4 linked regions of the Ovis aries genome follow. The protein of the gene in region 2 purifies or fractionates together with the protein of the main gene of each other region. This does not show direct contact. Links are inferred from orthologs where the notes say so. Each region holds a gene or a part of one and is shown on either strand. Other genes may lie near its edges.

Region 1 (4,852 bases), about 200 Mb from region 2:
TGCAGCTCTCAACAGCTCTCCTAGCACCTCAGCAGTAATGTCTGCCTCTTGGACACAGCCAAGGACAGTGACCAAGATCCCACAGCAGCTCTACAGCCCCGGTGGTGGGGCCTGGGTGAAGAGACAGGCAGTTCTGTCTGCTGAGATTCTCAAGCTGTCCTGCCTGGGACAGAGGATGATACGGAAGTTCTGTGGCTTTTCCAGCACCGGGGCACTGCGGACTCAGGGAGAGCCATTCCAGTTTCTTAGTGGTGGTGAGGACTGAGCAGTGCAATTCCAAATCCCACCAGGAGGGGGAGCATGCCAGATGGCAGTGCCTTGTATACAACAAGCACTTAGTCAAATCTACTGAATGAATAGAGGTCTCCTACATTGCAGGCAGGTTCTTTACCACTAGCGCCACCTGGGAAGCCCAGTTGAATGAATGCTCCTGAAAATGCTATGAGCAAAGGGAAGGATCTGGAAGAGCACACCAGCAGACAAAGCAACATGACCGATGAGGCTGGAACAGAGAAGGGAGGAAGCTACTGGCAGAAGACGCCCACCACCCATACTTAGGGAATCTGGAGCTGCTCTGATGGCTAAACCAAGGGGGTCTTAGAAAAAATACTCCAGTGAGCAGCACCAAGGACCGACAGAAGGGGAAAGGGCAGGAGCAGGCCAGTCAGGAGACCCCAGGGTGCTCTGCCAGACCTTGATATGGAAGTCCACAGGAAGTGTCCTGGAGCCCACCAGCCGTTTCATGAGGTAGCCCTTCCAGTCGGTGAACTTGGCATGGATGGCTGGGGAGACAGAGCAGAATCCTAAATACAGACTGCCACCACTCTGCTGACGGGTGCCAGTCTGCCCCAGAGAGCAGCAGAGGGCCTGAATGACGTATTTCTGCCTTCTCAGGCCAGCAGTCCTGGACTCCCCAACCTGGACCTGCCCTGGGGCCTCTGGAGGAGGGAGGAGAGGAAGTGAGGAGGCAGGAGGGCTCTGGGCTGGTCTGACTTCTCCCAGGGGGGCCACAGGAACCAGGACGGGGAGCACTCTCGTAACTCACTCCGCGGGGGCACCAGGATCTTGCTGTTGATGGCACACCAGCCGATGGGGTGGACATCCACAGTCCCCAGGTTGCACCAGAAGTCATGGCTGGCATCATTTTCAAAGCCTTCATATCGAAGCAGCACCCGGTACCCTGAGCAGGAGGAAGGGGAGATGAACTCTTAGGCCTTCTTGCTTCTCCAGCCTAAACCAGGCTGCCTACTCCAAGAACCCCTTCTACAACAGCCAGAGCGAAAACAAACCCCTGCCATGTACCTGGAAAGCAGTATGGCACAGTAGGGGAGTAATTTTCTACGGCCTGATCAACCCCGGAATGAACTTCAAAATGGGGGTTTCCAAACTCGCCAAGCTCTGTGGCCCCCTCTAAGGTAGGCAGCACGAAAGCATAGCAAGGAGGGAGAACCAAACTCCAGTGGGCGGGTTTTTTTGTTTTATGAAGCTGATGTCTGCTCCGGCACTGCCTGTCCATCTGGAGATGTCGCCCCCAGCCCCTGACCCCGCCTTGGCCGGAGGAGCACCCACCTGCTGCCTGGATGACCGAGGCGATCCAGTACACCCGGCTGGGGAGCACGGCGTCGCTGTTGAGAACCTCTACCTTCATTCCCTTCATCACATCCTCCCACTGGTCATAGAGTGGGACCTGCGCGGGGGTGAGAGGGTTCAAGGGGACAGTGAGCCACCTGGGTGGGCAGAGGAGAGCGGCTGGCCGCAGGGCCTCACAAACGCGCTGTATCCTCTCCTTTGCCCCTCGGTATTTCCCCTCACTGTGTGTGGAAGGCCGGGCCCAGCACCAGGGAGGAAGCGATGAATGGACGCGCCCGCCTCTGTGAAGAGCCGAGTCAGGGGACGGGAGTCGCAGTGTCAGACAGCCCTGCCCATCTCTACAGGACCGGCTCCCAGTTGCTACCCTCTGGCACATCACACCTGTACCAGCAGACATCTAGCAGTTTCCCACTCTGACTATGTAACAGGCGCTTCTAAGACACAAACAGCACTCCTTCAATCGTCATACCGGGTGGCTGGATTTCTCTCGTGGTACAGTGGGTAAGAACCTGCCTGTCAGTGCAGGTCGTGAGCTCAATCCCTTGTTGGGGACTAAGCACCCACAAGCCAAGGGGCAACTAAGCCCTTGCATTGTAACAAGAAGCCCCTGTGCTCCGCAACAAAGACCCAATGCAGCCAAGATAAACTAAATAGGCCTTCTCCAGATTTCCTGGGGTTTAGGAGCCCCCTCTGCCTCTCTCTGCACCTGTGGGGGACCACTGCTCAGGCCTGCACTCCAAGCCCAGCCCTCCAGTCTCAGCCTCGGCCGCTTCTCAGTGACAGCCACCTGGGGCTTCCCAGGTGGCTCAGTGGTAAAGAATCTGCCTGCCAATGCAGGGTTTGATCCCTGAGTCGGGAAGATCTCCTGGAGGAGGGGATGACAACTCACTCTAGTGTTCTTGCCAGGAAAACTCCAGGGATGGAGGAGCCTGGCGGGCTATAGTCCACGGGGTCTCAAGGAGTCAGATGCAATTTAGGCATTGACAGGGAGTCAGGGAGGCTTTAGCAGAAGGGGTTCCAGGAGGCACCCATATCTGCCTCCCAGGAGCCACCCATATCTGCCTCCCAGGAGCCAATGGGCCGGGGGCAGTTCACAGGCACCAAGCTGTCAACAGGAAAGCACTAAAAATGGGGGAAAAGAGAAAGGGATTCTCACAGTTGGCTCTGGATACCAAAGCACAAAGTGCCATTATGTGAATCAGCCTGGGGGTGACCTCCGAGGGGAGTGCTCAAAGCCCTCGAAGAGGGTCTTTGGGAGGACTTGGTGAAGGACAAGTGGGCAGAAAGGTGAATTGGAGCCAGTGGCAAAGCCGGGCTTTGAGCACCCAGACTTCATCCTGTTCCCTCCCAGTGCTGAAGCAGTGAGGCAGGTGGGTGAACCGGCAGCAGCAACCGGGCCCCTGCCCTCCCTCCCCTCATGCCCAGGGCACTCACATGCTTAAAGCAGCTGACAGGAGCAGCCTTGTAACTGTGATCCTTCAGGAACTTCCCCCAGTCGAAACCCAAGACCAGCGCTGCAGAGCCAAGAGGACCAGAGTTGAGGGGTTGAAGTGCGGAGCTCTCGCAGCAGTGACTCCAGGAAACCAGGCGGGCCTGAGGACTGGGAGCAGCCTGGGCCGACCCCATACCTGCCCCAGCAGTGGCCACTGCAGGAACCCGGGCCTGGGGACCGGGAGCACAGGCCCCTTCCCACCACGCAGCCCAGGCCCACCCCATACCTGCCCCAGCAGTGGCCATCAGGATGGGACGGGGAGGACCTCATCCAGAGGCTGCCAGACTCTCAGTAGAGAGAGTCAGAGGGAAATGTCTGATCTTTCTCCCTCAAGAGAAAGAGGGAAATTCAAAGACCCTCAAGGCTTAAATTCCTCAGACCGCCCCCAACCTCTCATTGGCCACAGCCAATCTAGATGGGTGGGAGGCACACACACCACAGTCCCTCCAGCCCTGATCTGGGAGCTGTGTCAGACCACCTAGTACACAGCTGCCAGTCTACATTTATTTACAAACAGCTACTCATGCTCAGAAAGAGAGAAGTTCCTGATCCCATCACCCTTCTTCACACCAGGTCTAGGTCTCCACTGCCCCAGGAAAACAAAAGCCAGAGAGCTACAGGCAATGCTAAACAAAGGAAGCTAACTCTTGGCTTTTCAGTGCTCAAGAGTAGAGTGATTGAGGGATCTTCTGGGCCATCTCACAGTTACTCCCAGGTGAGGAAGATGCCATCTAAAGCGAGCCTGGGCTGGCCCTTTCTAGCTGGCCCTTCTCCAATCCTGGCTCCTAGGGAGCGACCCCTCCCCTCACCTGCTGAGTCCTGGCACCACACCCCACTGGCTTCCAGAGCACCAGTCCCTACTGACTTACCGTCCTGCCCAGTTGGGGTCCCATCAGCAAGCTGTCCTGTCCCCTGGGAGTGGAGGAAGGCTCCAATTTTGGCAGACCAAGCAGCTTTGTGCAGAACTTTGGCCTTCTTGGTAGGTGGTTTTCCCTGGAGGGAGGAGAGCCTGTTGGTAGCCTAAAGGCTGATAACAAGGCTCTGGATTTGGACTGCCCTGGTAATCTCTTTGGGACTCGTTTCTTCACTTGTAAATCAAGATGATAACAATTATAATGCTTAGCTCAGGGGGGAGTTGCAAGGGTGAGGGTCACATATTGTGCTGAACTCAGAAAGCACTTAGCCATTGTTCACCTGCTGGGGTGGGGGTTGGCAGAGCCAGAGGGCAGGGAGGGATACATTTTTCCATCTTTTAAGCTCTGCTACTGCCAGGAAGTTCTCGCTGGTGGCCAAAGCTCTCAGCCATCTCCTTCCCCTGGTGCTCCTATAGGTTTATGGCAAAGAAGGGGCTTCAGAAGGCTCATGAACTGAACAGAGTTTATGAGGTGCTCAAAGGGGTCCTACCCCAGAGTGAAAGGCCACTGACCTGTGTGTGTGTTAGTCGCTTAGTCATTTCCGACTCTTTGCGACCCACGGACTGTAGCCCGCCAGGCTCCTCTGTCCATGGGATTTTTCTTCAGGCAAGTATACTGGAGTGGGTTGCCATTTCCTTCCCCAGGGGATTTGCCAGAGCCCAGGTCTCCAGCATCAGAGGCAGATTTTTTTTACCATCTGAGCTATAAGGAAAACCTGGTCGGTAATTTGTAGCTTAAGCACTGATCAGAGAGGCCCAGAGAATGTATTAAAGAGATCAATGATTGGGGGAGAATGGACAGACGCATATGTATGGCTGAATCCTTTTGCTGTTCACCTGAAACTAGCATAACATTG
Region 2 (5,648 bases):
TTAGGCTCTCTTTGGCTCAGATGGTAAAGAATCTACTTGCCAATGCAGGAGACTTAGGTTTGATCCCTGGGTTGGGAAGATCCCCTGCAGAAGGAAATGGCAACCCACTCCAGTATTCTTGACTAGAAAATCCCATGGACAGAGGAGCCTGGTGGGCTACAGTCCAAGGCATTTCCAAAGAGTGAGACACAACTTGGCCACTATACTACAACAACAAATGCCTTTTTATATCAAATCCTAGCTATTCCCAGTTCTAAGTAGGCTACATTCATTAATTCATTTAATCCTCACAACAATCTTAGGAGGTAAGTAGTCATTTAGTTCAGTTCAGTCGCTCAGTCATGTCCGACTCTTTGCGACCCCATGAATCGCAGCACGCCAGGCCTCCCTGTCCATCACCATCTCCTGGAGTTCACTCAGACTCACGTCCATCGAGTTGGTGATGCCATCCAGCCATCTCATCCTCGGTCATCCCCTTCTCCTCCTGCCCCCAATCCCTCCCAGCATCACAGTCTTTTCCAAAGTAGTCATTAATCCCATTCAACAAATAAGGAAATTGAGGCAGGGACTGATTAAACAGCTTGTTTCAGGTCTGGTAAACTTCTAAGCACAGGGAGCCAGGATCAGAAAACACATCGTCTGGCTCCAGTTTTATTATTTATTTATATAGGCGTTTTAACTCCACCTTATATTACCTGCTTCCTGGATTTGTGGCACATACAAATTTTCTTATTGAAACACTTTCTTTTCTTTTTGTAATGGAAGTTGAGTTAATTTACATGCCTGTCTGCATGTAAGTCACTTCAGTCATCTCTTACTCTTAATGACCCTATGGACTGTAGCCCACCAGGCTCCTTTGACTATAGGATTCTCCAAGCAAGAATACTGGAGAGGGCTGCATGCCCTCCTCCAGGGGATCTCCCCGACCGAGAGATTAAACCTGAGTTTCCTGCCTTCTCAGGCGGGTTCTTTACCACTAGTGCCACCTGGGAAGCAACATTGTATTAATTACTGCTATCCAGCAAACTGGCTCCAGCTTTCAGTTCAGTTCAGTCACTCAGTCCTGTCCACTCTTTGCAATCCCATGTACTGCAGCACACCAGGCCTCCCTGTCCATCACCAACTCCCGGAGTTTACTCAGACTCATGTCCATTGAGTTGATGATGCCATCCAACCATCTCATCCTCTGTGGTCCCCTTCTTCTCCTGCCTTCAATCTTTCCCAGCATCTGGGTCTTTTCCAGTGAGTCGGTTCTTCGAATCAGGTGGCCAAAGTTTTGGAATTTAAGCTTCAGCATCAGTCCTTCCAATGAATATTCAGGACTGATTTCCTTCAGGATGGACTGGTTGGATCTCTTTGCAGTCCAAGGGACTCTCAAGAGTCTTCTCAACACCACAGTTTAAAAGCATCAATTCTTCGGCGCTCAGCTTTCTTTATAGTCCAGCTCTCACATCGATGCATGACTACTGGAAAAACTATAGCTTTGACTAGAAGGGCCTTTGTTGGCTAAGGCAGTCCAAGGGGCTCTCAAGAGTCTTCTCTAACACCACAATTCAAAAGCATCAATTCTTCCAGCTCTAAACATTTCCTTTATCTCTCTCCTCCACTGGAATTGGAGATTGTGCCAAATTCAAAGGAGTAACTCCTGTGCTCAGCACGATCTCCGACACCATAGGGAATCATTTATTTCTCAAATTTTCATTTGGAAGGGAGAAAGAAGAAGAAGAAAAAAAAGGTGCACATCAGTAAATAATCCCATGACGGTTCGGTGACCAACACTGACGAAAAAGCATCAGCACTGGGCAAGTGCCTGAGATGTAAATTAACTCCCTGCGCGCTGAGAACTTTCAGTTATTAGTGTGGTTAGTGTCAAGAACTCCGAGGGACACAAGCGAGCTGTCCCAGCAGCCTGGCCTCCCGCCCCGACCCCTCCGTCTGGACCTCCGGCGCAGCGTCTTCCTCTCGCGGTGCTGTCCTCTCCGCGGACTCCGCCCTCCGGGATTTCCTGGGCTCTCCCTCGTCCCGCCCGGCTGAGGGCCGCGTGCGGCTTGCGGGGAGTGCTCGGGCAGAGGCGGCCGCGGCGCCGGCTGCGGCGGCGGCAGCGGGGACGCGCCTGCGCACTGGGAGCGGCGGCGCACTGCGCATGCGGGAAGATGGCGGGACTGGCGTCCTGAGTTGCGCGGGTCACGGTGCTCTTTAGCCCGCCCGCGTCCCCCGTCCCGGGGTCGAGTCTGGTCCGCCAGCCGGTCTAATTAGGCGGCGCCTCTGAGCCGGCCAGGGGCCCGGTTCGTGCTTGACGACGCCCCCTTCTCCCCTCCCGCCCCCCCAGCCCCTGGGACCCGGCGTGTTGTGTTGGGGGGTGCGTCGTCCGAGCGGAGCGGGAGAAGGCGGGAGAGCTCTCGGGGGTGCGAGGCGAGGAGCGACTGGCCGGTCAGCATGAGTCAGCAGCGACCGGCGCGGAAGCTGCCCAGCCTGCTCGTGGACCCGGCGGAGGAGGCGGTGCGCCGTCGCTGCCGCGACCCCATCAACGTGGAGGGCCTGCTGGTAAGCCCCCCCGGGGTTGGGGGCGGGGAACGCGTGCGTGTGGGGGGTCCTCGGGCTCTAGGGTGGCCCCGGGGCTGCTCCCTCGGGCTCCCGGGTTTTCGCACTGCCTGTCACGTCCTCTGAACCAGAGCCGTCGTCGTCCGCTGAAACCCTTTGCCTTATCCTTTCCATGTGCTCCAAAATAACGTTGTCAGCCTCCTCGAATTTTCCTTCGGGCCACAGAGCAGTGTTGGAGAAAATTGCACAGCTTTGCCTGACGCTGGCATGCTCTTCCATCTTTATTTCAGTGGGTCTCTGCAAGCTCTCTTTTTCGTGTTCTCTGCAGCCTCCTCTGCCCGTCTCCTACTCAGCTGCAGCCGCTTTAAACCCTGTCCACACCTCACACGTCCCACCCCACAGCTCCCCATCTTTCCTTCCGGCCACAGAGCAGTGTTGGAGAAAATTGCACAGCTTTGCCTGACACTGGCGTGCTCGCCCATCTGTATCTCAGTGGGTCTCTGCAAGCTCTCTTTTAGTGTTCTCTGCAGCCTCCTCTCCCATGCTCCTGCTTAGCTGCAGCCGCTTAAAACCGTGTCCACACATCCTACCCCACAGCTCCCCCCATTCAGCACGTCTTCCATCCTGTTTGACAGCGAAAACGCAAGGGAGATTAAGACTCTCTGTGAAACGTTCAATTCTGTTGCTCTGGACTGCATGCAGTGTATTCTTCTTATCAGCACTTTTCCATGGAAGGAACCCATCAGTCCCCATTTCTCCCTGCATTCTCGACCTCTCTGCTGCTTTCTTCCCATTACTAGTGAATAGACATTTCCTGAAGTCAGATTATCCAGACACAAGGAGGTGCTGGAAAATAGTGCTCCAAAATAGTTGATGAGCACCATCTCATTTAATTCCGCACAGCAGTTGTAAGGGATTATTCTTGTTTGACAGTTGCCAAGATAGACTTGGAGATGTTAAGTGGTTTTTCTGTGGTTAGTAAGTAGAAAAGCCTGGGTTGAACCTCCCAGTGTCTGACTCCGGATGGTAAATTCTCAACTACTTAAAGTGAAATGAAAAGTTGCTCGTGCGACCCCGTGGACCATACAGACCACAAAATTCTCCAGGTCAGAATACTGGAGTGGGTAGCCGATCCCTTCTCCAGGGGATCTTCCCAAACCAGGGGTTGAACCCAGGTCTCCCGCATTGCGGGTGGATTCTTTACCAGCTGAGCCACAAAGGGAGCCCAAGAATACTGGAGTGAGTATCCTATCCCTTTTCCATTGGATCTTCCCGACCCAACAATGTCCTAAATCCCATTTCCCTCTTGAGAGATCTCTCCTTTAATCCCTTATGCCTTTCCGCCCACTATATCACTTCCCCTTCACAGCCAAACTCTTTGAAAAAGTTGTCTGCACTCTGAGTTTTCTTGCTCACATCTCATTACCACCTTGAGCTGCTGCTGGGGGACCTCAGCCCTAAGCACAACTCTACGACTGTCCTAACCAAGGTCGTCAGCAACCTTGTCAGGTCCAGCGGATATGGTTTTAACACGATGGACCACTCACTCCGTTGGAAACTCACCATTGTGTCCCCTTGGACATACTCTCAGCACTCCATCTGCCTCTCTGGCCTCTTGTGTTCTCTTTTGTAAACTCTTCCTTTTCCCATCCCTTCCATGTTGGTCTTACTCAGCTCTTCAGCCTTCTCCACAGTTTCTTCATATGGGGTGTCATTCAGCACTCTTGTGACTTCTGTTACTGTTTGTACTGGTGGTCTTTTTCTTTTCAGTTCAGCTCAGTCGTGTCTGGCTCTCTGCCACACGTGGACTGCAGCACACCAGGCTTCTCTGTCCATCACCAACTCCCGGAGCTTGCTCAAACTCATGTCCATCAAGTCGGTGATGCCGTCCAACCATCTCATCCTCTGTTGTCCCCTTCACCTCCTGCCTTCAATCTTTCCCAGCATCAGCATCTTTTCCACTGAGTCTGTTTTTTGCATCAGATGGCCAAAGGATTGGCAACTTCAGCTTCATCTTCAGCCCTTCCTATGAATATTCAGAACTGATATTCTTTAGGATTGACTGGTTGGATATCTTTGCAGTCCAAGGGACTCTCAAGAGTCTTCTCCAGCACCAGAGTTCAAATGCATCAGTTCTTCGGTGCTCAGCTTTCTTTATGGTCCAATTCTCACATCCATACCTGATTACTGGAAAAACCATACCTTTGACTAGACCAGCCTTTGTCAGGAAAGTAATGTCTCTGCTTTTTAATATGCTGTCTAGGTTTTTCATAGACTTTCTTCTCATTATTTTAGAATTTGATAAAAGCTATGAACTCTTACTATGGAAAAAACTTTATTTTGCATTTAATGTCAGAAGATACACGTATCCCTTGGAGTTTCAGAGAGTCTTATCCACTCTGGTCGGGCTTCTCTGATGGCTCAGTGGTGAAGAATCTGCCTGCTAGTGCAGGAGACACAGATTCATTCCCCTGGATTGGGAAGATCCCCTGGAGACGGAAATGGCAACCTGCTCCAGTATTCTTGCCTGGGAAATCCCATGGCCAGAGGAGCCTGGTGGGCTACATCCATGGGGTCACAAAAGTGGGACACAACTTAGCCACTAAACAATAACAATCTACTCTGGTAGTTTGGTTACCGTGTCATGACTCCCAAATCTGTAAATTGGGCTCAGAGCTTTCCAGTTGTCTACTATACAACTCTACCTAGATTTCAAACTCATACACCTGAAGTGGAATTCGTGTCTTGCTTAAGCAACAACTCTCGATCTCATATTGCAACAAATGGTACCACACCCTCCATATTGCCCTAGCTGGTATCCTACGTATAATCTTTACCTTTTCCAAATGGACCCCCTCCATCCTGTCTAATAGAAATTAGTCACCAGTACTTGCCACTTCTAGCTGTCATTTTGCCTTTCAGATTGCTATCTTCTCAACTAGTTTTCCTGCTTCTCATCTTGCCCCTGATTTTCCTATATATTCTCTACATAGTAACTAACCATAATGGTCTTTTTAAAGTGTATGTACGATCACGTCGTTTGGCTTAAAGAATCTATCATGGTTCCCAGCTGCTCTCATCATAGAGGAGAAACTTCTTAATGTCAT
Region 3 (4,852 bases), on a different chromosome or scaffold from region 2:
ACCTCCACGTGGAAGAGGCCAAGCACAACTGGAGCCCAACTTAGTGAAGCTCCCGCGGTAGAGGTGGAACACGAAGAAAATCCAGCACAGGGGAATGCCCATCATGCTAGAAACCGGGACAGTGGAAAGCCCATGCGGCCCAGTCTCAGATCCCAGAAGACCTCCAGTTAAGATTACGATGGTTTCACATCAAGATAATGGTTCCAGCTACTCTTTGGAACAGATCCTGTGGGGATAACAACAGAGGTCACCCTGGGGACCCTGAATGAGACAGTACGAGAGCTCCATGACCCCAGCTAGGTAGGGTCTATGAGCCCCGTGCCAGCCTGAAGAAGCTGCAGAAGACAGACCTTCGCCCTTCAGCCTCCCAATAAAGATTTTTGGGGTTCATGTCTCTCAAAAAAAAAAGGTCATAAATAACAGCTTTAGTAAGGAAAATCCTTAGTAGATCTTTCAAATACTACTTCATTTGAGTCTTGGTTCCCAGAATTACCATCAGACTTGTCTTTTGACTGGGTGGGACTTTTTTTTTTTTTCCCAATTATAATCACTCTTGACTGCCATATTTTTGGGGATATAGTTAAATCAACTGGACTCGACTTCTCATTATTATGTGGGGTCTTATAGAGTGTGACAGTTTATTTCCTCTCAACCTATAGGTAAGACAGAAGAAGTGGTCCTGAAGAAGCTAGAGTATATTTATGCAAAACAACAAGCATTAGAGGCACAAAAGAGAAAGAAGAAGATGGGATCAGATGAGTTTGCTGTGTCTCCCAGAACTAGCAAACAGCAGGAAGGAGCTCCTGCATCATCTGTAGATCTCGGACAGATGTTTATAAATAACAGGAAAGGGAAGCCTTTGATTCTTTCCAGAAAAAAAGACCAGGCCACAGGTAGGAGGGACATTTGCTTTCCTTGATGCAGATGAACATTTGGTTTAGATTAAAGAACTGAACATCTTGGCCATAATTTTAGTTTTAATTAGATGAAAGATGAGTTGTATTAAAAGCAGAATATTAACTACATTAGATTTCATTTTCTAGCTTTACACACTCAAGCAAATCCTAATAAGTTATCCGTCATGGTAATATAAGACTTATTTCTGGTAGGAGTTTATTTTTGTTAACCAAGCTCTTTTTAATCAGATTGCAGTCTGTCAATGAATTGCTATATAGGAACAAAGTAAATTGGTTTTGATTTCTTACTCTGTCCTATATGATTTTGAAGGTGAGGCTATGTTACATTACTATGTTTACATTACTTGCTTATATCCTCTGAAAATGGTATATCCTTTTCTACTCTTTTACTCTTTGGATAGCCAAGTGTAGCAACCAAGGAAATCTGGTTTGTTATATCAGCTAAGAAGGTGGTGATGTATACTAAAATATGAGTTAGTTTTCACATTGCACATTCAAGTGATGTTATTGCTAGATAAGTAAGGACTTTAGTGACCATCTAGTCCAGTCACCTTATTTTACAGATGGAAAAACTGAGGTCTAAAAGCTTGAAGTAATTTCTTAGAGGTTTATAGGAAAGCAAACCTAGGGATAAAATAGTGTGTACCTTCATCCTGCTTCACCAGCAAGACCATCAGAAGCATTCCATTGAAAAAGTGGTTCCGTAGCTCTGTTCCTCAGCAAAAATAAAATTCTGTCCTTTAAGAGAATCAGTGGATAGGTAACCATTACTGAAAAGTCATTCAAAAAGTAAATTGCAAGTTGAGGTTCCCCAACAAATTTGAAATGTCTTGCTTTTTAAGTCAGAGTGTGGTTTTAGGCATGTCTCCTACATTCCTAGACTGTACACTAGCATTAATTGAAGATCGTTTATCCTTAACTAATTTCTGATGTTCTTTACAGAAAATACCTCACCCTCTAATACTCCACACACCTCTGCCAACATTGTGATGACTCCACAAGGGCAATTGCTCACTTTGAAAGGTCCCCTATTCTCAGGACCAGTGGTTACTGTTTCTCCTGCTCTCTTAGAAACAGATCTGAAACCTCAAGTTGCCAGTAGTGCTGTGGCTCAATCAGGTATTGTCTTAAGTGTTGTCTTCAATGGGTGGTGTAAGAGTTGTCTCTGGTATCTCAAAGTGATGGAGAAAGCCTTTGAATATATTCTGTAGTAATAAAGAGCCATTGTATTCAAGTCTGTATGAGAGGGGTCTCTTTGGAACCTGTTTGGCTCTATCTGTGATATCAATTGGTCTTTTTTTACCTGGGGATGGGAACTATTTTGTGATCTCTCCTAATTTCTAATTGTGTGGTAAGTTGCTTCAGTTGTGTCCAACTCTTTGTGACCCTATGAACTGTGGCTCTCCAGGCTCCTCTGTCCATGGGATTCTCCAGGCAAGAATACTGAAATGGGTTGCCATGGCCTCCTCCAGATCTTTCCTACCCAGGGATCAAATCCCTCTCTCTCGTGTCTCCTGCATTGGCAGGAGGGTTCTTCAACCCTGGCTCCACCTGGGAAGCCCAGTTTCTAATTAGGGAAAGAATTTAAAAGATGTGAAAATAAAAGGAATGTGAGGAGTCATTCTTTTAGCTTTTGGTGTTGATAAATATGTATCAGTTTTGTGTTGTACTCAAAGATGGTGCACTCCTACATTACTAACCTGATAAAGTTGGAGCACCCTTTCTTTTGGCAATGAGGAGTTGAGTTGAAAAGGAAATTTTACTTTGATAATTTAGGTTTTACAAACCTTAATTTCTGTTAAGGTAAAAGGGCATCTTTACCAATACTAACACTGCTAAACCCAGTCTGGAGGAGTCATCTTCCTAGAGTGCTGCCTTTAGGGCTTCATCTTTCTGTCAGAGTAGCAGTTACTGGGTGAGCAGAGTCAAGATGCGTGTCTGCCTCAGGACAAAAAGATAAACTTGGGGAGCATTTATATAAAAAATATTAAATAGGACTTCTATTAATGATGGAATATCAGTGTGTCTTTTGGTTAAATTTTACCTATTTTCTTGTTAGGCTAACTCTAATTTGAAAAACTAGTATTTCCTTTCATCTTCTTGCTAAAAGTAGATGGTGAAAATTTAACTCCTTTGAGATGGTTATTGGGTATGAATGGGAGAGAGTGCTTACCACTATAGATAAATGAGTTTTTTTTTTTCTTCCCTAGAAAATGACGACTTATTTATGATGCCAAGAATTGTTAATGTGACATCATTGGCAACAGAGGGAGGTTTGGTAGATATGAGTGGCAGCAAATACCCCCATGAAGTTCCTGATGGCAAGCCACCTGACCACCTGAAAAACACTGTCAGGAGTGAGGATAACTCCTGTGAAGATTTGGGTAGAATCTCTTCCAGAGGCAACCATAGAGATGTCAGAATGGCACTGGGTACAGCACAGGTTTATCTGTCACATAAAGATTCTGGTTGTCCACAAATGGTTGATGTTTCCAGTATGCAAGAAGCACAAGAATTCTTACCCAAAAAGATTTCTGGTGATACCAGAGGGAGTCAGCATAAATGGAAAGAGAGTGAATCAAGACGGGAGAGACTGAAGACAAAGGAGTCTCCATTTCATAAATTAAAGATGAAAGATCTCAAAGACTCAAGCATAGAGATGGAATTGAGAAAGGTAGCATCAGCTATAGAGGAAGCAGCATTGGATCCCAGTGAACTGCTAACTAGTATGGAAGATGAGGATGATACTGATGAGACACTGACATCTCTGCTCAATGAGATTGCCTTTCTTAATCAGCAGTTAAATGATGACTCTGTTAGCCTGGCTGAACTGCCTAGCTCTCTGGATACAGAGTTCCCAGGGGATGCTCGCCGGGCTTTTATCAGTAAGCTTCCTCCTGGGAACAGAGCAACTTTCCAGGTTGGCCACTTGGGAACTGGTTTGAAGGAATTGCCTGATGTGCAAGGGGAGAGTGACTCTGTCAGCCCCCTCCTCTTGCACTTGGAAGATGATGACTTTTCTGAAAGTGAAAAGCAACTTGCAGAACCAGCCTCTGAACCAGATGTGCTGAAGATTGTCATTGACTCTGAGATAAAGGACTCCCTCGTTCCCCAGAGGAAACCGGGGGATGAAGGGAAGAATGCTTCTGGCATCCCTGCTGAGCCTGAAAGCGTGTCCTCACCCCCCATTCTCCACATGAAGGGTGGCCTGGAGAACAGCAGCGCAGACACCTTGTGGAGGCCCATGCCAAAGCTGGCACCTCTAGGTTTAAAAGTAGCTAATCCTTCCAGTGATACAGAGGGTCAGAGTCTCAAGGTGATGCCTTGTTTGGCACCTGTAGCTGCCAAAGTTGGGTCTGTTGGACACAAAATGAACTTAACAGGGAATGATCAGGAATGCCGGGAGAGCAAGGTGATGCCTACACTGGCACCTGTTGTGGCCAAACTGGGCAACACTGGGGCCTCGCCAAGTTCTGCAGGGAAATGAACTTAGTTGTTCTCAGGCAGAAGCCAGGCTGTGAGGGGAAACCTCCTTTCTCTGCAGGCACCTGTTTGTGTCATGGAACTGTGATCCTTGACTTTGAAATGTGGTGAATGATGGTAGAGAAAGGGGGTAGGGTGCTGACATCCATATAAGAAATTAACTACTATGAAATTCTGATCATGTTAAAATGTGTTACCTCACTTGTGGTGCTGGGTCTCCTCATCCTCTCCAAGAAGATGCGATCCATTACTGAACACGAGGTGCCCCTCTTACCCAAGGAATTTGTAACAAGACTAGGTCCATAGTGGTTCCTAGTTCTTCCCTCCCAGAGTAAAAGCTGCTTGAGACTTAGGAGTTGCTATGGACTGAACCTTAGTTGATAGCTGTTGTTTTAAGTCTGAAGTCCAAGGAATGTGATGCACTTGTGCAAAGGGATCCAGAAGAGGTAGCT
Region 4 (4,852 bases), on a different chromosome or scaffold from region 2:
CTGGGGTGCGGGTTTAGTACGAGGTGAACTGCTCTTGGTATTTACATACAAAATCAGTTGGCTCTATTTCTTAGAAATACACACGGAAAGAAAGGAAGATTTGATCATTACTTCATGAATCTGTCGCTTTGCCATACCGACATCATCAGAGATAGGGACAATTCACTTGGGTTCAAATTTCAGTAGCAGGAAATAAATATCAAAACATCATCACTGGCCCTCAATACAAAACCTCTACCCAACCCGACCCTCCCTCCTTGGCCCACCCACCCTCTGCCACCCCCTGGCAGCTCCCGTTCCACTGCTGCCGTCCCCTCACGCCACACAAGCGTCACACGGCCTCCCTAAAGCTAGCTGAGAGAAGCAGGAGTGAAACAGGCCGAGACTCTGTGCTGCAAATCTGTCCCCACTTCCTTTTATACCACAAACTTCTCCAAGGATCTGGTCTTTCAATAGGAGCGATAAATAGCCTTTTCAGGGGAAAAAAAAAATCCTTAAAAAGAAGGGGGAATAATTCTGATTACTCCAAACTGGTCATCTTCTGAAAGTAGAGCAGTCCACAGATTCACAAAGTCTATCAAACAGAGGTGAGGATGGCCCAGAAGGAGAGGCCTGGGTGGGGCAGGAGTCCCCCGGGCATGTGCCTGGAGGGGCTGGAGGAGCTGGTGGGTGGTCAGGACACCATGTGCTCAGAGGTCTGGCCGGCCGTCTGTCCTCCACAGAGAAAGCTGCCAAGTTGGGGTGTTTTGGTTTAAAAATTCCTGGTGGGGACAGGGAATCCCTGAAGGGAAACGTTAAAAAAAAAAAAAAAAAAAAGTGGAAACGGGGAAGGAGAACGAGAGCTGTTGTCCAAGAGCTTCTACGTAAAAATAAAATTTAAAAAAAAAATGAGAAAGAGGAAAAAAAAAACAAAGAGTCTCTTAAATGGTTCTGAGAGTTCTAAAGATGAACTGAAAGGAGGATGAGACGACGGAGGAGACAGACAGTTTTTATTGCTGGCCTGCCCCGTGGAGCTTAGCTGGCCTCCATCCGGAGCTTCTTCCTGCTTTGGGGCTCTTCGGGCTCCGACTCCGAGCTGGAGTCCGAGCCCCCATCGAAGGCAGAGATGGTGCTGCCCTTGGCGTTGGTGTAGAGGCTGCTGTCTGAGGAGGGGTAGTTGGTCTGCAGTTGGGCACTCGACCTCGCCTTCTCCAGTGCACGGACTGAAAGGCAACCAAGCGAGCGGGTTACAGCCTTCTGGAGACTAGGGGAGGAACTGAGTCTTGGGTTGGGGTCCAGCCTGTTCTTCCGAGGGCATGCTGGCCCCTGAGGCTCAGGGTGGCTCATAAGTAACTCCCTTCCGCTGGCTGGCCCACCTGCACACTCCCACTTCCCTTTGCCTTTCCCAGCCAGACACGAGTGCTCAGTGGATACGGCCAGCCACTCTGCAAGGCCACCCAACCCTGAAGAGAAGGCGTGTGAGGTCACCATCCTGCCGTGGAAGCCCAGTACAGAGAGAGGAACACGAGCTCGCTGCGGGACCCAGCAGTGCAGTAACAGTGCAGCTGGCCCAGCAATGCCTGGCTCCACAAGGGTGTGAGGGTCACACATTAGCAGGGAAGGATGACAGAAGATGTACCAGCCAAAGAAAAGTTTTGGCTTAGCTCTCATGTACAAGATCCACTTGGAAAGACAAGCTGGACACTTGGAAGCAAGTCACCAATACACAGAGTACCTGGGTTTTCCAACACGGAGCCCCTACATGCAGGCTGCTTGGCCCGGTAACCAACCCGCTGCCGCCTCCCACTGCCCATCCCTCGGTTCAGCTCGTCTTGAGCCTGGAAGGTCAACCCATTTATTTTGGTTTAGTTTATTTTATTTGAGATGTTCTAACCCAGATGGTTACTTGCATTTCCTTTTACTTGCATCTTCCATGAGGGAGGAAGAGAAGTGAATTCCCCAGGAACAAAGAACTTGATCAGCTCTCGCTTTCCCCTGTGGTTGTAGGAAAAGGCGGGTGTGAGCATTGGAGAACAGCATGGGCCTGGCCCATGGGCTGCCCTGAGTGGACTACCGTTGACACGGGGAGCGCTCACTGTCCCTGAACACCTGGAGTCTCTGGCGCTTACACAGCACACTCCAATCCAAGGACCTCACAGCTCTTTTGAGGCACCTGAGGCCAGCTGCGATCTCTACTACCAGTGCAACACTTGGGCCCCAAGAAGGGGAGAGCGAGCAGGTCAGAAAAAAGAATCCAGATGGCTAAGCCTTAGACTCCACTGTTCCCTCACCAAGGGCTCAGGTCCTTCCTCAGGATGGCTACACTCGACTACAGGCCCAAGCAGCAGGGCTGCAGCTGCTCAGGAGCATGGCTCCGTCACTGGTTCTGACTCTGCAGGCCCCGGCGTGAGGCCCTGACCTGGCTGGCGCACAGCAGGGCCAGCTGCCCCACAAGCTCCACTGCTCACCTTGCTGCTCCAGGAGAGCATTCTGCCGCTTGAGGTCATCAATATCTTGCTGGTGTGTGTGGTTTTTCCTTCGCATATACTGGATATACTCTGTGGCTTTGTCTAGGATTTGGGCCCGGGATGCCTGTTGCAATATGAGAAAAAGCAGAGGGGACAAAATAAAGACCTAGTCCATGCAGCAAGGAAACCATTCCTTTCAGCAAAGGCCACGTGGGGGACAGAAGTAGGAGGGGAAGGGCACGAAGCACTAAGTGCTGTAGAGAATCTTCTTTATGCCGGTCAAGGCACCAGCTGCTTTCCACAGCTTACCTCACTGGCACTCTAAGAAAGGTGGTTCCACTAGGAACCCGAGTCTCAGAGAAGTTTACTGGTTTATTCAAAATCACCAGCTAAAGGGTGTAGAGTCTGGATTCAAACTCAGCTCTGTCTCAACCCTGAACTTGTTTCCCAGCCAGCCTCTTTGGTTCTTTAGGTTGCTTTCACATCTTCGGCCAGGCTGTTCTGAAAAAATTAAACTACCACTTAACTGAGAGCTAAGGTCACTCACTCTCTGCTGGGCCTAGCTATAGGCAGCTGGTCCAGAAAGACAAAATCAAGATCTCAGCTGGAGCTGGCTCAGGATGGGGATGGGTACAAAGGTTTTCATCAAGGTCTGAGACTTCAGACAAGTACTCAGATTGTTGTTAACTAGTTCCAACTAAGCCATGTGACCGAGTCACTATTTCAACCTCTCTGGCTAAAGAGAAGTTTGTGAAAGCTGTCAGAGCTTGGTGTCAACACAGGAAGGGCATGAGATTGGGCCATTTCAGGAAGCAACCACACCTTTACCATGGCTGAGGGTAGCCTAGGGACTGCCCTGTAGAGGAACAAGTTAATGAGCTAATAAAATGGATGTCAGGTTACTTGAATCCTGGAGGTCAAACTTGTCTGGGAGATTCCCTGCAGGGTTGCAAACATGGCCTGAGTTACTCATGACCAAGCAGTCAACTGACTGAACTGGCAGAATGGTACAAGGCCCAGAGAACAGAAGCCCGAGACAAGCTAGTCTAGTGGCTGAAGTCCGGCAGTCATGCCACTGAGACTCCTGAGCAGGAGCAAAGCTTCTGAAATGGCAAAGAAAACAGCCACACTTGGGCGAGCAAAACTATACCCACTTGTAGTAAACCCTGACAATCGCAACTCATAGACTCCAGCACGGCCGGGTATCAGAGAGGTTTGGAAGACCCAGGTTGATTCACCCGTTCTCCCAAGCACTAGAGTCTCCAGGCTTTCCTCTTATGGCATCCTTAAGGCAATTTCCTCAAAAGGAAACTGTTCATATTCAACCATTTTTATCTGGTGTGAATTATGTGTCAGGCACAGAGCAGACACTGTGGGGAAACAAAATGTATTAGTCATGGCCTCTTTGCCCAGATGCTTACTTACTATCTAGTTGAGGAGATAAACATATCTATATACAGACAAATCACAGGGCAGTACCAACAAGCGTAACTTGAGTGGTACAGATTACAAAGGCCACGGGAAGGACGGCTTTTGGCCGGGGTGGTCACCTTGTGTGTGCCAGGAATTAGCCTTGGCTCTGCACACAAAGGCTCCCGTCTGAACCAGTGGGTCAGGGTGGGTTAGACTGAGGCGGAATTTGTGAAAAAGGGTTGCTCTGGGCACGGAGAACAGCGTAGACAAGGGCATGAGGGTGGAGACAGGACCAGGTCTCCATCTTCAGTTGAGTATGTCAGCTGATGGAGAGAAAGTGAGGGCACCTACCAGTGGGGGGTGGGGGGCAGGGCACGCAACTCTCGTTACAAGGCCACTTCAGAGGCTGTTTCCCATTTCTGCCAAAGGAGACTTATTAGGGTTAATTACTGGGTGATAAAACGGGGGCCGGGGAAAGGGCACATATTTAGAAGGGACTAATTAAAATACCCTGCCTCTCTGGATGCTAGAGAGGGGATTAAGAATATGTATAGTCAGGATAGGTGGCAGGATGGCAGGGTGGGGAGAAAAGCTTAGGAATCCAGCAGACGGGTCCCTCCAGAGTCCTGTCCCTAAGGTGCTCTGGGACCGCAGACACAGTCTTTCTCGCAGGGTTATTTCTTATCTGACAAGAAACTCTCTGACCCCACTGAGCCTTCCAAATTCTATGCATTCCATCACTGATCTAATTGCCATGCATATTTGTATCACAGCCTCTCTTTAAATTTGCTGTTGTTTCCCCGACTAACTGTTGCTCCCAGAATGCAACATTAACCTCATTTAACTCTGCATTCGTTATCTAGCACAAGGGAAAAAAGCAAAATCTCTGAACAGGAGAGCACTTGCAAATGCTTAGTGATAATTTTTAACAAATGACCACACTGAGTAGCGGCCTGAGTGCTACCACTTTCTTCTTCACATGTTCATACATG

Evidence for each region.
Region 1: the proteins of E2F6 (region 2) and L3MBTL2 purify together in Homo sapiens (affinity purification with mass spectrometry; 5 studies listed by BioGRID and IntAct, counting the BioPlex papers as one, with this or other methods). This does not show direct contact. The link is inferred for Ovis aries from reciprocal best matches to the Homo sapiens genes E2F6 and L3MBTL2.
Region 3: the proteins of E2F6 (region 2) and MGA purify together in Homo sapiens (affinity purification with mass spectrometry; 3 studies listed by BioGRID and IntAct, counting the BioPlex papers as one, with this or other methods). This does not show direct contact. The link is inferred for Ovis aries from reciprocal best matches to the Homo sapiens genes E2F6 and MGA.
Region 4: the proteins of E2F6 (region 2) and MAX purify together in Homo sapiens (affinity purification with mass spectrometry; 5 studies listed by BioGRID and IntAct, with this or other methods). This does not show direct contact. The link is inferred for Ovis aries from reciprocal best matches to the Homo sapiens genes E2F6 and MAX.

What each region holds. Positions count from the first base shown.
Region 1 is NC_056056.1:218,200,743-218,205,594, reverse strand, and holds part of L3MBTL2 (lethal(3)malignant brain tumor-like protein 2), read right to left. Parts: intron 4,076-4,852; coding exon 3,952-4,075; intron 3,105-3,951; coding exon 3,025-3,104; intron 1,688-3,024; coding exon 1,570-1,687; intron 1,181-1,569; coding exon 1,046-1,180; intron 783-1,045; coding exon 694-782; intron 1-693. UniProt on the Homo sapiens protein: Putative Polycomb group (PcG) protein. PcG proteins maintain the transcriptionally repressive state of genes, probably via a modification of chromatin, rendering it heritably changed in its expressibility.
Region 2 is NC_056056.1:20,421,105-20,426,752, reverse strand, and holds the start of E2F6 (transcription factor E2F6), read left to right. Parts: upstream 1-2,136; 5' UTR 2,137-2,436; coding exon 2,437-2,544; intron 2,545-5,648. UniProt on the Homo sapiens protein: Inhibitor of E2F-dependent transcription. Binds DNA cooperatively with DP proteins through the E2 recognition site, 5'-TTTC[CG]CGC-3'. Has a preference for the 5'-TTTCCCGC-3' E2F recognition site.
Region 3 is NC_056060.1:35,374,796-35,379,647, forward strand, and holds part of MGA (MAX gene-associated protein), read left to right. Parts: intron 1-659; coding exon 660-893; intron 894-1,859; coding exon 1,860-2,036; intron 2,037-3,127; coding exon 3,128-4,404; 3' UTR 4,405-4,852. UniProt on the Homo sapiens protein: Functions as a dual-specificity transcription factor, regulating the expression of both MAX-network and T-box family target genes. Functions as a repressor or an activator.
Region 4 is NC_056060.1:75,272,149-75,277,000, forward strand, and holds part of MAX (protein max), read right to left. Parts: intron 2,572-4,852; coding exon 2,448-2,571; intron 1,975-2,447; coding exon of another isoform or gene 1,958-1,974; exon of another isoform or gene 1,203-1,957; coding exon 1,015-1,202; 3' UTR 1-1,014. UniProt on the Homo sapiens protein: Transcription regulator. Forms a sequence-specific DNA-binding protein complex with MYC or MAD which recognizes the core sequence 5'-CAC[GA]TG-3'. The MYC:MAX complex is a transcriptional activator, whereas the MAD:MAX complex is a repressor.